Linked DNA regions of Schizosaccharomyces pombe. Each later gene encodes a partner of the first gene's protein in a complex. Each region holds a gene or a part of one and is shown in the gene's direction. Other genes may lie near its edges.

Evidence for each region. The genes of interacting proteins can lie anywhere in the genome.
Region 2: rpa49 (region 1) and rpa12 share a complex: the UniProt entries of both Schizosaccharomyces pombe proteins name them as parts of the RNA polymerase I (Pol I) complex.
Region 3: rpa49 (region 1) and rpa34 share a complex: the UniProt entries of both Schizosaccharomyces pombe proteins name them as parts of the RNA polymerase I (Pol I) complex.

The regions. Positions count from the first base shown.
Region 1 is NC_003424.3:3,924,284-3,930,275, reverse strand, and holds rpa49 (DNA-directed RNA polymerase I complex subunit Rpa49), read left to right. Parts: upstream 1-2,996; 5' UTR 2,997-3,015; coding exon 3,016-4,293; 3' UTR 4,294-4,743; downstream 4,744-5,992. Other genes in the region: SPOM_SPAC2F3.05C (xylose and arabinose reductase), read left to right, coding at 640-1,467; single-strand DNA-binding protein Rim1, read left to right, coding at 1,959-2,307, 2,392-2,495; sec67 (translocation subcomplex subunit Sec72), read right to left, coding at 4,945-5,523. UniProt on the Schizosaccharomyces pombe protein: DNA-dependent RNA polymerase catalyzes the transcription of DNA into RNA using the four ribonucleoside triphosphates as substrates. Component of RNA polymerase I which synthesizes ribosomal RNA precursors.
Region 2 is NC_003421.2:1,037,273-1,041,516, forward strand, and holds rpa12 (DNA-directed RNA polymerase complex I TFIIS subunit Rpa12), read left to right. Parts: upstream 1-2,827; 5' UTR 2,828-2,860; coding exon 2,861-3,085; exon of another isoform or gene 3,086-3,330; coding exon 3,331-3,465; 3' UTR 3,466-3,744; downstream 3,745-4,244. Other genes in the region: Ino80 complex subunit Iec3, read left to right, coding at 4,102-4,241. UniProt on the Schizosaccharomyces pombe protein: DNA-dependent RNA polymerase catalyzes the transcription of DNA into RNA using the four ribonucleoside triphosphates as substrates. Component of RNA polymerase I which synthesizes ribosomal RNA precursors. Required for growth at higher temperatures.
Region 3 is NC_003423.3:1,760,868-1,765,120, forward strand, and holds rpa34 (DNA-directed RNA polymerase I complex subunit Rpa34), read left to right. Parts: upstream 1-2,826; 5' UTR 2,827-2,884; coding exon 2,885-3,640; coding exon of another isoform or gene 3,641-3,686; 3' UTR 3,687-3,753; downstream 3,754-4,253. Other genes in the region: mRNA turnover and ribosome assembly protein Mrt4, read left to right, coding at 317-925; TRAPP complex subunit Trs20, read left to right, coding at 1,569-1,655, 1,703-1,785, 1,846-1,907, 1,977-2,155; Sm snRNP core protein Sme1, read right to left, coding at 3,637-3,686, 3,916-3,991, 4,101-4,190, 4,228-4,253. UniProt on the Schizosaccharomyces pombe protein: DNA-dependent RNA polymerase catalyzes the transcription of DNA into RNA using the four ribonucleoside triphosphates as substrates. Component of RNA polymerase I which synthesizes ribosomal RNA precursors.

The DNA.
Region 1 (5,992 bases):
CAAACGCATTGTTCATTAAATGCATTTTTATCAATAATTACTATTGGAGTTCAGTCTTTTGCTCTCGCATAAAAATCCGCTTAAAAACTATAAAACCCGCTCAATCACAAATTTCTCAAAAAACCGCTATATTCGCGATTCAGCATTTGTCACAAGCTTCGATTGATCTCATACATAGCATTTTATTCATTTCATTCTCGAACGAACATTGCTGAATTCCATCGATCGATTAGTACGAATTCGAAGCTTAACGAACTTTTGTGACGAAAAGCTGGGTTAACATCATTCTTTACATGTCGCTGTACGTAAGGTAAAAACGTGATGGTGCTTCGGGATGTTGCTTATCATTACCACTCATTAATGTTATATCAGAAGTTTTTCATGGTATAAATAGTACTGTGTTGTTCGCATGTCGGGTTAGCAATACCATTTTAGTGAAAAGAATTTATAACGTTCTTTTCTTTGGTAGTTGAAAATATTGAATATTTCAAAAATACTCAATAGCATTGAAAAACAGCTTGGTTATATTCAATTTTGCTGAATCTCGTTGATTGCTTAATTGAATAATTATCAATTTCCTCGTTCATTAATTTTTGACTTTTTTCTTTTAATTTAATTTTATTTTTTTGTTCATACATTATGTTGGGATCATTTGTTAAGTTAAACAATGGACTTAAGTGCCCTCAATTTGCTTACGGTTCTTACATGGTGAATCGTACAAAATGCTTCGATTCGGTGTATGCTGCCCTTCAATGCGGATATCGACACATCGATTCGGCTCAGATGTATCACAACGAGGCTGACTGTGGAAGAGCCATCCTTAAGTTCATGGAAGAGACTGGTACGAAACGAGAGGATATTTGGTTCACTAGCAAGCTTAATGATTTAAGTGGGTACAAATCTACTTTGAGCAGTATTGATGCCAGTGTTAAGGCATGTGGCCTTGGCTATATTGATCTGTTTCTTCTTCACTCTCCCTATGGTGATCGTATTGAATCATGGAAGGCGTTGGAGAAAGGTGTTGAAGAGGGAAAACTTCGTGCTATCGGCGTTTCCAACTTTGGTCCTCATCACATCCAGGAATTGTTGGACAGCCATCCAAAGATTATACCATGTGTCAATCAAATCGAACTTCACCCTTTTTGCTCCCAACAAAAAGTCGTCGATTACTGTGAATCCAAGGGTATCCAACTTGCTGCCTACGCTCCTCTTGTTCATGGTGAAAAGTTTGGCAACAAGCAACTTCTCGCCATTGCTAGCAAGTATAACAAGTCTGAGGCTCAAATCATGATTAGATACTGTCTACAGCGTGGATTCATTGTACTTCCCAAGAGTTCTACTCCCAGGAGGATCAAAGAGAATGGCGACGTTTTCGATTTCGAAATATCTAAAGAGGATATGGAGAAGCTCTACAACTTGGATGAGGATTATCATTCGGATTGGAACCCATGCGTTTCCCCTTTATAATATGTTAAATGATCGTCTTGTAAGAGCAGAGAATGCATTTTATTATTTATTTCCTCTGCTATCCCTAGATATGCTAGTATGATAGAATTTACGAAACTCAATTTATGTCAGCTTATATACCAAACATGCATCCAATGACTGTTAGTATGAATTAGTATGAATCCGATATTACTTTTATCATATACGATCATAGATTAGAAAATTCGTATTACTTCCATTGATTTGTAAATGCTAGCATAATGTATCGTAAACTTATTAGAAACCTAAAGTACCTCATGGAAATGGCTCATTTTGGGTAGAAATATATTCAGACTCTTTACTATGTAGCTAATTAAAAGCAAATTCTACCCTAACTTTGGTTTTATCAATTCACACACTTCTCCAAGTACTTTTCGCTTCGTATATGCGACGTATGCGCACTTCACTCATCCACAACACCACACAATAAGACTCCATTAATTGCTTTCCTGTGAGCTCAAGGTACTAAAAACATGCTATTCTTAAAATCCAGCAGAGCATTTTCCAAACGACTGTTTTCTTCATCGACTGTTCGTTATAGAGATATTCAACGTTTGACATTGACTGGCAATTTAACAAAAGACGTTGAGCGTTTGCAGTCTCAAAAAGGAAACGAATATATGCGTTATACTGTAGCTTCCAATAATGGAAAAGACGTAGCCCCTACCTTTCACTCGGTTTATGTTTTCGATAGTTACAATTTCGACAGACTTCAAACTATTTTAAGGAAGGGAACGCGTGTTTATGTGGAGGCCGATGCTGTTTGGCGTTCCGTCCCAGCTGGAAATGAAGGATCTCAAGCGAAAATGAGCCTGCGACATGGTACGCAACATTGCAATGGTCCAAGTTGAAGCCTGAAGCAAAATTTGAAAACAGAATATAGTATTTACTAACCTCTCTTATTAGTATCTGCAGACGTTTTATTTTATCCTCGTAACAAAAATGGCGATGAATCCGGAGAAGAGACTCATCCTGAATTAGACGCAGATCCTATGATTAACAGCTTCTAAAATTCGTGTTTCTAGTTTAAAAATTTTCTGCACTTTAGACCGTTAATATATTTGGGTGGTATTTTTCTAGGGATTATTGAGTTTAAAAAGTCTCCTAATTCATTTTCTCTGCATTATGCACATACTTGGTATTGCTATGTATTTTTCATTTGATGTTTATTTCATTATTCCGCTGGAAATAATCTACCCATGGCTCTTCTGATTTGTTTTTATAGACAATAATGTCTCTGCTGTAATGTTTTCATTGCGTTCTAGGAATTACTTAGTCACCTTTACTCCTTCTTTTTCAAAGTGACAAATTTGTTAGTCCTTTACAGTAAATTAATAATCATTTTTTTTTATTTTAAAGTGTACTCTACGATTTGTAATATTCAGTTTCTTTAATTCTTTTCATTTAATGACTGATCCTCAAACTTCGTTAAGTTAGATTTCGCAGCCTCTGTGACTGTACACTACACTTCGTCAAACAAGCAAAGCTCTTTAAGCGCTAGCATTTTTACCAACAGCATCCACTATTGGAATGGCAGGTGACGAGTTAAAGGGCAAGAAGCGGAAATATAGAGATTCCCATTCCGGTGATGAAAAATCCGTTAAGATATTGCCTTTGAGTGAATCGAGTTTACCACCACTTGTCACGACAATTTCCGGATTTTATCCACCCGAAAATACCCGGTTCCAGCTTCTCAAAAAGAGCAATCAGAGCAACAGAGATGCGTCGTTAATTGGAAGGACAGAGCGTGTTCAATTTGAGGCTAAAAATCAATCAACGGCTACGGTTGAGGCAAATTACTGTTTAGCTGTTGCTGATAAAACTGGTCGTGTAAAAAAGATTGTTCCAGCAAAGTATCTTAATACTTTTGAAAGAAATATTTTGGCACTTCAGGAGAAGGACAAATTTTTGAAAAAGAAGCATGGAACTGTAAGCGGTACTGTTATGGAACAGCGTGCCAACTTGGGTTTGGCATTTGGTACAAGAAAAAGTCAAAAAGCTATTATGGAAGAGTCCGCCAATCGTGTCAAAGCTGAAACTTTGGGAGATGTCAAGGATCAATTGGTTAGTAATGTTCAAAAAGCTACTGAAGCACTTCCAACGCAAGAAGATATCGCTGCTGCTCAAGCGCAAGATCGCCCTATTCCTCCTGTCAATGTCGGTGCTGAATCCATTGAAGATGCATACAAATTGGAGGACATTATTCCCAAAGAAGAGTTTTCAGCTATTTACATTAAGCCTCTGTTAGAAAACCCTGACGAGCGCAATTGGGCCAAATTATTGCCGTACCGTCACTCCTTGTTTATTAATGAACGCTTCCAGCGATTACTTTCCATTGAGGAGGTTGACCAGAAGCGGGCGAGAATTTTGTATTACATTTCTCTTTTGCAAGCTTTTTTGTTTTCTCGTCGTTCTGTGGGCAACCGTGAAACTTTACGTAAAAAATTGGCTGATCCACCAGAGATTCTTATTGATGGGTTGATTAAACGTTTTACTCAAACCACCGGTATTGGTAGCGTCCAAGTATCATCTCGAGAAGTTGATAAAATCATATGTTATATTCTGGTATTGTGCTTAATCGTTGATAATTACTCAACTGATGTTCTTACCTTGGCAAATGACTTGAATGTCAAGACCATGAAGGCTAATGAGCTTTTTAGAACGGTGGGTTGTCGAATTATGGCTTACACCGAAACTCAAAGAATGGCTTTAGGTCTTAACAAAACTGATGCTAAAAATCATAAGCGTGCAGTATTAAAAATTCCCCTAGAGTTCCCTAAACCTCGACGTGGACGCGCTAGAAATTAGAGAAAAGTACAGCGTTGTTTATTTTCAAAAAAATGTGTGTGTGTTTTTTTAAAAAAAAAGAAGGACGGTATATATAGAAGAAACAACTACTGAAGTTCGTGATGTTCGATATCTCCACTGCTTATAATTGTTTTGGACGTCAAAGCGACATTGAGATATCCAAATAAAGTACCAACAAATTTTCAGAAACTTCTTATGGGAATACGGGATTAAAGGTGTTTTTTTATTATAGTGGAAGTACAGAAAATAATAAAATTTTGCATTGTATAATACTTTTGCTATAAGGCAAAGAAGGGTGACTTAGATGGTAACTAACTTTCAAGCAAAAAAGTTACCGTTTTACTCAATAAATCCTTTGGAAAGTTATAACATTGTTGTTTGACTATAGGGTAACAAATGACAATCGAAACTTAGATTCATGTTCAAAACCACCGTATTTATGATGTGCTAGGGGATGGTCTTTTGTATACAGTAATTGCTACAATCACCTGAGCATTAAATGAATTGGCAATAATATCAAGTTAGTATTAATTTTGAAATGGATTAATTATGTGGCCGTAAGTGTTTATGGTAATATGAAACAACACAAAGAAAGGAAATAAAAGGAGCGTGCAAATCCAATGATCATTTGAAACCATGATACAGTTGGTTTTAATCTTTTTCAGTATAACTTGCCCATAAAGCCACCAACTCGTTTCTCGTAACTGGCTCTGCCAAAATTAAACCGTCTCGTACAACCTGTTTAGCCTCTTCTATGCGATGCATTGCCTCCAAAGCCTTTGCTTTCCTATAATAACACTTTCCATAATTATTTCGAATTTTCAAAGCAGCATTTGCATCTGCTAAAGCTTCGGGGAATTGGGAAAGGGCAATCTCAGCAGCCGCCCGATTACACAACATAACACTTGCTTCTTCACGCGTAAGAATCGACGGTTCCCAAGTACAGCGATTCAAAGCGAGTTGTAATGCTAATCCATATAACTTTTTTGCCTCCTCATACTTTTTGCGTTTAAATGCCTCGTTTGCAGTTTGCTTCATCTTATTAACTTGGGTAGACAAGGCCATATTTGGCTTAGCAGGAGGATAGGGAGGTGGAATAAAAAAAGGATATTTAAACGTAGCTAATGACTTGGCGTATTCATTAACCTTTTTGCCCAACTCCAATTCCTTCCCACTCCATTTTGACACATCAACTTGAGGTGCAACCACCGATTCTTGTTTAGCAACCATCGAAGCAAAGTTTTAAAAGAAGAAGTAGTGAAGCTGCTCTTAATGTAAAGCACAAAGCTCGGATGGATTATTATGTACAAATAATTTAGAGAAGACAAGCAATGTTCAATGCAAGTAGTAAACTTGAAAGTGTTAGCAGAACGTGTCACAATACTTTAACACACATAAATACTAACTACGCAGTTTGTTATTTAATTTTAACGATGTGTAGAACTGCAATGAGCTTTATGATCTATTATATTGCAATATTGCAAAAAGCAGGTAATACAAGTAGCAACCGAGGACATATATAATATTTTATGTACGATCTATTGTTACCTATCATTAATATAGCTTTAACTAAACTGAGGAACGAGATTCAGCTGTACCTCTATTTATAATTGTTCTAAAGGGTGTTTTTAATAAAATTTATTTAGTTAGCGGATAGTTACCCATAATTATTAATAACCAGATCTCAACTGATATTCCA
Region 2 (4,244 bases), on another chromosome or scaffold:
AAAAGAAAGTAATGGCCTTACCTAAATATGCAAAAAAGGCACAATCATGCGACCCTCCGTCTCACAACTCAAAGCAGAATGAATGAATTTTGTAATTTTCGCAATACCTGATGATAAACAGCACACGTCAAAGGATGAGGTTTATGATTCTAAGTCAACCAACAAAAAAAATATACAAACAAAGGGAATAAGAAAGAAATGCTTATGTCCGTTTTGAATCAAAATCCGAAATTGTGTAAATAACAAAATAAAGAAAAGAAAAGAAAAATCAAGCTCTTTTCTCTTCAAAACTACAAAGGCGTTTTTTTTTTAAGAAATCTACTGCTTCCAACTGGTTAGAGACTTTAAGTAAACAATTCTCGTCTTTTTACATACGAGGAAATAGAAAGCAAATTATTCTTCGTTCCTGTCCCTATGGCAAAGATTCAATGTAAAACAATGAATTTGGTTAAGAGAAGAAGAGAGTCAAACAAGAGGTTAATGGTAAATAGACGGATCTTAAGTTTTGGCGTAGTTCCGGTCCTATACGGATTATGAAGTCGTTCCACAGTGGGTCGAGCTGTACTAATTGGATAAGGCAGTTTAAAAAAAAGCCGAATCGAGGTAACAACCTCGGTACCACTGAGTGAGCTTCGATACCGCGATACGAGGCAATGCAATTCTTGAATTATTGTTTGGGGCAATTAATCTGTCTAATTATGTGTTGTATTCATTAAAACACTTGTAAACGGCTAGCTATTGACATTCCCAACTGAACGGTGTTATGTTTTGGACGAAATAAAAAAGGATGTTTAAATTGTCGCATATAAACAATGAAGATGCAAAACACAAGTATAGGTGAATGATGAACAAAAGACTGCTTTGTTTGCTTTCAAAGCTCCAACAACCGTACGAGAAGGGAAATGCTTCTGATTGATATTGGGACAGAATCTGCTGAACGAAAGGATACAATGCACAAGCAGTCAATCGCACTGTTTGAGTTTTTGAAAAAATGCATGCCAGTCAAGATTGGATATGTTGTAAATGATGATGAATACTGTGTTATACCCTTTTATTTTCCTTTTAAATTCAAAGAAAGCAATGAACAACTCACTAATCATCTAAGCAACGAAAGAGAAAAAAGAATAGAAAAAAACGTCTATTAACAAGTTAACCAAAAACACTAAAATACTACGTATAGCAATTTCAATCTTCTCGCTATGTCCTACAGACAACCAACTCATGGTTACGTATAACTATACTAAAGCAGTGGTACTCCATCCTTATGCAACAATTCTACAAATGGAAATTTTACAAGACACAGATTTTAACGTACTTTTAAAGTATCTTACCTTTATTTAGATACGCTTAAAATCTCTAACCTTTTTTATCATCCTTTTTCTTTACCAAACTGGTTTACTTGTTTCTTTCCTTGGCAAAAACCGAGCTACGCAATGATCGGCAAAGTAAATATCCATTTTCACCGACAAGATATGGTACTCACTAAGTAATTTCCATTATGTAGCAACAATAACTCTTCCTATACATTTTTGTTGCCTACAATCCCATAGACTATGTCACGTTGCACTCTTCCAAAAAGGACTACCCCAGAAAGAGAGAGAGATATGAGGAAAAAAATTTTTGCTTCTAAATAACTAGAGCAAACAAGTCCCACTGTTGTCAATCGTCGGGTACAGCACAATAATCTCACTAGTAAAAACATGCCATATTCATCTCTGTTTTACCAAAATAGAAAATCAACCTTACATTGCATAATATAGGAATACGGAAGCGAGCCCTATACAGATGGACTGGGTTATGGCGGTTATAGACAAAGGCGCTTTCAAAACCATAATGGATTTGAAACGCTCAAGTAGTGGAAAACACATAATAGTAAGTATAATGCCAAATCCTTTGTAGAAAATACACAGACCTTTTTATTGAAATCGTGAATATGATTCTTTTTTTTTTGGTGATCTCTTTTCTTATTAATGCTATATCTTTTGAATTTATTTGTTTTTTCTTTTATTTAGTAGTATTTTTTTTGCATTTTGTTATTTATCTGTTCGCTTTTCTGTTGTACATGTAATAGTTGCAACGTACAGACAAATTAAATTTTTATTATTCTTATATTTTTTATTATTTCCAAGCTTATCACATAAATTACGATTAAAATACCTAAAGTGCAAAATATGATTTCCAAATTGATGATTCAATCAAGCAAAATAATTTTCTTTTGAGATAAGGAAGAATTTGTTAAATAATCAAAAGCACAATTTATAAGGTACAACGATTTTGAAAGTCGCTAGTATATATGTACACAAATCTTGTTCTGTATTCCGTGACAGGCTTTGTATTTGAACAAAGTATTGCCCAGCTAGACAAAAATCGTTTGGGCAACAAAATTTTAAAGTAGCAAGAAATAGCTTCAAACAATTAGTTGATGCTTGAAAAAATACAAAGAAATTTTTCTTACCGAATTTTTTCCAGAAACAACGATACAATACTTATATAGGTGAAATTTCCCGAGAAAGCTTTTTAAATTCCCCAACTTGGAATTCCAAGGTTGATTTATCAATAAGTAATTTCTTTACAAAAACGAATGATTTTTAAATGTCTGTAATTTATGCCTTTAGCATAATGTTCATCAATAGATCAGGAAATTCGTTTACTCATCTCTAGCTTATTGTTTACTAATTAAGGCACTATACTGATCATAGTCGCTCACAGTGTGTATTGGCTTTTACGATAATGATACACTCGCTTTTCCATCACTTACCGCAAAATAATGAGTTACAGCGAAAGAAAATTGCACTTGTCAAAGACAAACTAGCTTGTCATAAACACCAGTGCCTTCCCCATCAAGCAAGGAGGAATCCCAATGTCGGCAATAGGGTCTTTGATATTTTGCTCAGAATGCGGTAACTTGTTGGAATCGACTACTGCCCAATGGACTACTTGTGATCAGTGTCAATCCGTTTATCCTTCTGAGCAATTTGCCAATTTGGTAGTGGAAACGAAGAGTAGTGCAAGTGCTTTTCCTTCTGCTTTAAAACTCAAGCACAGTATCGTTCAAGTAGAATCTCAGAAGGAGGAGGCAGCAACGGTATGTAACTTATTTTTGTCTATTCTTTTCGAATCCTTTTTTTCATGTTGGTTGTCATTCTTCTTTCCTTTTAGGCTTTGTATCATTTGGAAAACTTTTTTTTTTTTAAGAATGCATTAGGAGAGTCTAATCAAGGAACTTTTTTGTATCATATATCCAGTGAATTGAAAAATCGGCACAGTCAGGCAAAGGACTTTATCATAGTCCTTTTTTGGGTTTATTGCCATACTAACAAAGTTTTGTAGATTGAGGAAAAATGTCCAAAATGTGGAAACGACCATATGACTTTCCATACTTTGCAATTGAGGTCTGCTGATGAAGGTTCTACGGTGTTTTACGAATGTCCTCGATGTGCTTATAAATTTAGTACAAACAATTAGATTGAGTTTTCATCTGTTAATCATTCTTTTGGTTGTGATTTTCTCAATATTTCACTGTTTCTTACGCCGTTCTTCATGTATGTATGCTGACTGATTTGTATGAAGACTATTGTTTTTAATATCTTCGATTGTCCTTCTGCTTCCGTTATTTTCATGCTCGATAAATTTTATTTGTCTAGTAATACGGCAACGTTCATGAAATAGAAAGAGATGCTCTTGATATCCGATTTTCTTGTTTTGTCTTCTATTTTATCCAGGTGTTAAAAAAAATAACAGTTCTTCTGTTCTTGTTGGTTCTATTTTTCGGGGTTACTTTTTGTTTAAAAAATAATATGGTATAACTTATTCCTTTATTCATTATTGTCTTTCCTGGTTCAAACTAAATAGAGAAAATTCATTGTCTATCACGATTGAACCTGTGGATACTTCCTTTCTCAGAATTTTTAAAGAGTTTGAGTTTCAATGTTTATCAGCATTTTATGAATAGTAGTATATCGGTTATTTATTTCTTTTTCTCTAATATGGAAATGAATGTGTAACGAAATGGAGCGTACTATGTACCGTAACACTCAAGAGCCCAAATGGGCAGGTAGGTGTTCAACCATTTGAAATATATTCTCACCTGCCTTTTCACATATGGCGTCTGTTAAATCCTTTAAACGAAAATATTTAAAACTTCGAAAGTCATTTGATTCGGTAGTCCTTGAAACAGAGGAAATTGAACAAAAGATTGCTGAAATATCAGAAGTTTATCGCAGAATTTTATTAGAAAATGCGTA
Region 3 (4,253 bases), on another chromosome or scaffold:
GTTGAGGAGTTGTAACAGAAATATCGTGCTGAAGGATTACAAAATGAGAAAAACGAGCATCATGGATTTAGATGCTTATTTTTAGTGATTGAATTGTCTATTTTTGTACGAAGGTGTTTCCAAATGCTTTGAAGTTGAAATTCAACAGTACAGCTTTTTAGATTATGAGTTCTCGTTGAGGTTTTAAAGTTATACTTTTTTTTCCAATTATCTACTTATTTATTAGCACTGCTAACAAATACCCATCTGTTTACACCTTCTACTCGATCGTATAAAATTTTAAATGGCTGTTTTACTAACTGTTTATTTTCAATAGATGTGGATTTTTGATGTCACTAATATGAGAAACACATATTTAAAACGTATCCGTGATGATTGGAAGGGTAGTCGTATTTTTATGGGAAAAACTAAGGTCATGGCAAAGGCGTTAGGACACACGCCTGAGGAAGAACATGCCGAGAACGTTAGCAAGCTTACAAAATTGCTTCATGGTGCCGTCGGCTTATTATTCACAAACTCTAAGCCCGATGAAGTTATTGGATACTTTGAATCCTTCGTCCAAAACGACTTTGCTCGCGCTGGCGCTGTTGCTCCTTTTACTCATGTTATTCCTGCTGGTCCTGTTTATTCTCGTGCTGGTCAAATTCCCGTCGAAGATGATATTTTGTTGACCCATACATTAGAGCCACAAGTTCGTCAACTTGGTATGCCTACTGTTTTGAAGAATGGTGTTGTGACGTTGTTAGCTGATTTCCCTCTTTGTACTGAAGGTCAACAACTGGACAGTCGTCAAACACGTTTGCTGAAGTTATTTGGAATCACGGCTGCTGAGTTTAAGGTTGGGCTTTTGGGCTATTATTCAAAGAAAGGTGCTTCTGTTGAGTTTCTTCAATCCGCACCTGGTGCAGACGAAGCCATGGAGTAAAATGTATATTACAGTTAAATGGACACATCGCGTGCACTATTGCATTATCAAAGTTTTTTGCTTTTTATTTTCGGATAAAATAAAATGAAAAGAAGGGTTACTAGATTAGTGAAAGCCCTGTGTTACCGTGCTTGCATAGTTGACGGACTTTGGATTTAAAACAATGGTTTTTTGTTCATGCTCTGATAAATTTACATAGAGATATGTACTCTTTCTTTTCTTTTACTTACTTTTGGGGGATTATTGGTTATTTCTTTTCCATAGCGGATGAAAATATATGAATAATATTTTTATACACTTTAAAATGAGTCATGTAGCACGTTGACATGGTAAAGTTAGTTTGCTAGTTTCACTTTCGCTGTGAAGGCCCTAAAAGTTGATTTCCAAACTCCAATTGTTGCTTTCGTAACGTACGAAAGAATGGAAACAACGAAACTGATTGTTCTTTTGACCGTCGATATGCCGCATTTTGTACTTTAAGGTAAAATCGATATAATTAGTTTTAAATGTTTTAAATTTTATGGAATCATTTTAGTAGCTATCCAAATTATTTCTAAAACTTTTTAAAATGTATAATTCACGTTACACAATTACATTTTAAAATTGTGTCGCGCTTCACACTTCCTTTCCACCAACATTCACAATGACAGCATATGCAGCAATTATAGGAACGAAAGATAATCCCGTTTATGAATTAGAGATGGGGCCTATAAATGAAAAACTAGACAGGGTATGTCACATAATACTATTGATTTAGAACGCTAATATCTGAATTAGTCTTTAAATTCTCATCTTAATCAATTTATCGTTCATTCGAGTTTAGACATTGTGGATCAGCTACAATGGACTAGCAATGCCTTGTACGTTTTGTGATTTCTTTTGTTTCTTGCAGTCATTGCTAATACTCTGTTTTTGTATAGTTATATGAAAACCATCGATCAATTTCACGAAATGTATATATCTGCTTACGTTACGCCATCTAGTAAGTGTTTTGTTCCCTTTAAATATCTGGGGTGACTTTTGGACAACTACTAATGTTCATTATTTTTAGATATGAGGTTTATGCTTCTTCACCAAAACCAAAGTGCTGACAACATTAAACTGTTTTTCCAAGAGCTCCACGAATTATACATCAAAACTCTAATGAGTCCTTTCTATCAACCTAACCAACCTATTCGTTCTCAGGCTTTTGATTTAAAGGTCCGTTCAATTGCTAGAAGGTATCTGTGATGAAAAGGTGTTGGTTGATTTCTTCCTCACGTTCTTTCTCTCCAAAAAGCATTTATCTTTCTCTTGCCTTTTTATTTGTAAGAGTGAGGCATCTACAATGCCTATGCTGGCCGAGGTTGATAATTGTTCAATTTCCACATACATGAGGCATTGAAGAGGAAATGTTTGCAGATATGTATTTTTTTTTCAGTTTTAAATTTTGACTCATTGTGTTTACACTCTGTATACAACATATATATACGTCGTTCTTTAGTTATGTGTACCTCACTTCTTCCTACAATTGATATCCATTTTACATAAACACAAAATAATACTACATCCTTTAAGCAACTGGTCGCGTCAAGCTGCGACCGTTCTTAGTAGTCCGATCCTTACAGAAGCAATTGTCAGACAACTTAAAAAAAAAAAAAAAAAATCCCTATCTACTAGATAAAGAAAGATGTTGGGAATATTAATTTCTAGAAAAACAACATTTTTTAAGCCGAAAAAATAAAGTAGTGAACCGATTGCTCCATTTTAACTTTTTTCTTTACCTAAGAAGTAGAGTTCTTGCTATAACCACATACTTTTTATTTTTTGTTTCATCACATAAAAGTTCCTTTAATATGAATACTACCTTGTGCATCGTTATCCAGCTCGATGATACCTACGTTGTGACCCACAAGCTCACCAGAGCAAAATACAGGTACGCTTGCAAAATTTCACTTTAAATTCTACTGGGGCGTAGATATGGCAAAATCAAGTGAATTTGTAAACGAGGAAAGTTCAGAAGATGAATCTAGCGTTTCTAGCATAGAGGATCAGCATTCGTCGAAAGAACCTGAACAATCCGTGGAGAGCAACAATCACGGCGAATCGAACGCACAAGAAGATGTTGCAGAAATTGCTGGTTTAGAGAAAGTGCAAGGAAAGCCTGTTTTGACCACTAATGACTTGAAAAAGGAGTCCAATGTTTTTTTAGTACGACTTCCGCCTGGCATGTCCGCTGACCAAATAAGTCAGCTAAAGGTAGGCTCCAAACCTACAGTAGAATTAAAGCAGGAGAACGAAAACACCTATCAAATCCGAGAAGAATCAACAAGCTCCGTACGTGTGTTTTTACCTGACGAGCAAGGTTCCTATACGTCAAATGAAATCAAAACTGGATATGTGATTACAGAGACCCCCAAAATTTCACAAAACATTGATACTGGTATTACAATACCTACGCAGGCACCACTTGTTCCTCAAAGAAAGAATCTGAGACAGCATTTTCGCCCGATTGGAGATGCTGTAGGGCCTGAATCGGAACCTGAAGCTGAACCCAAGTCTGGCATCAAAGAACATATTTTACAAGAGACTGGTGATGCTACAGTAGAGGAATTACAAAATAAAGGGAAGGAAAAGCAAAAGGAATTGAAAAAGGGAAAAAGGGAAAAGAAGGATGAGGAAGAAAAACCTAAGAAGAAAAAGCAAAAGAAATCCAGCAAAAAGGAAAAAAATTAGATTGCTTGAATTAGTGTAATATTATCACCTTTTAATAGAATTCTACCTAAGCAATGTTAGCAATTGGTTTGGGAAATTGTTAAATATTTTAGAACAAAAATCTGCATCAACGGTTTGTTTTAGAATTTGTAAGGTTGCTGGAAACGCAATTTGGTAAATCAGCTTAAGACATGCATCTATTATTATTTTTGCTTCATGTAAAGACTTTTGAATAAAATCCCACCGAACATTCTTTCACATAAACCAAGGTTTTATTCGTCTAAAATCAGGCTTACCTAACTCCCTTTTATTATTTTTAGCATCTACTTGCACAGCATCGTCAAGCACAATGTTCATAAATTCGTCGAAGCCCTGTCATATATCGTTAGCAATTCATCAACTTGTCGTAGGGAAAATGAAGGTATTTCAAAATCCTAGGCCAACGACTATGAAGGGATTTTCCATAAAGTAAATTTCTTACCCTAATTTGTCCCTGAAGTCTTATATCTGTTTGTTCAAACAGCCAAATTGAAACAGGAGTATGTTGTTGCAACAATTTGAAAATGAAATTCTGCGTAAGTTAGCTATCCAACAACAATTAACCATACAATAGGAGGTATCATAACTTTTTGCA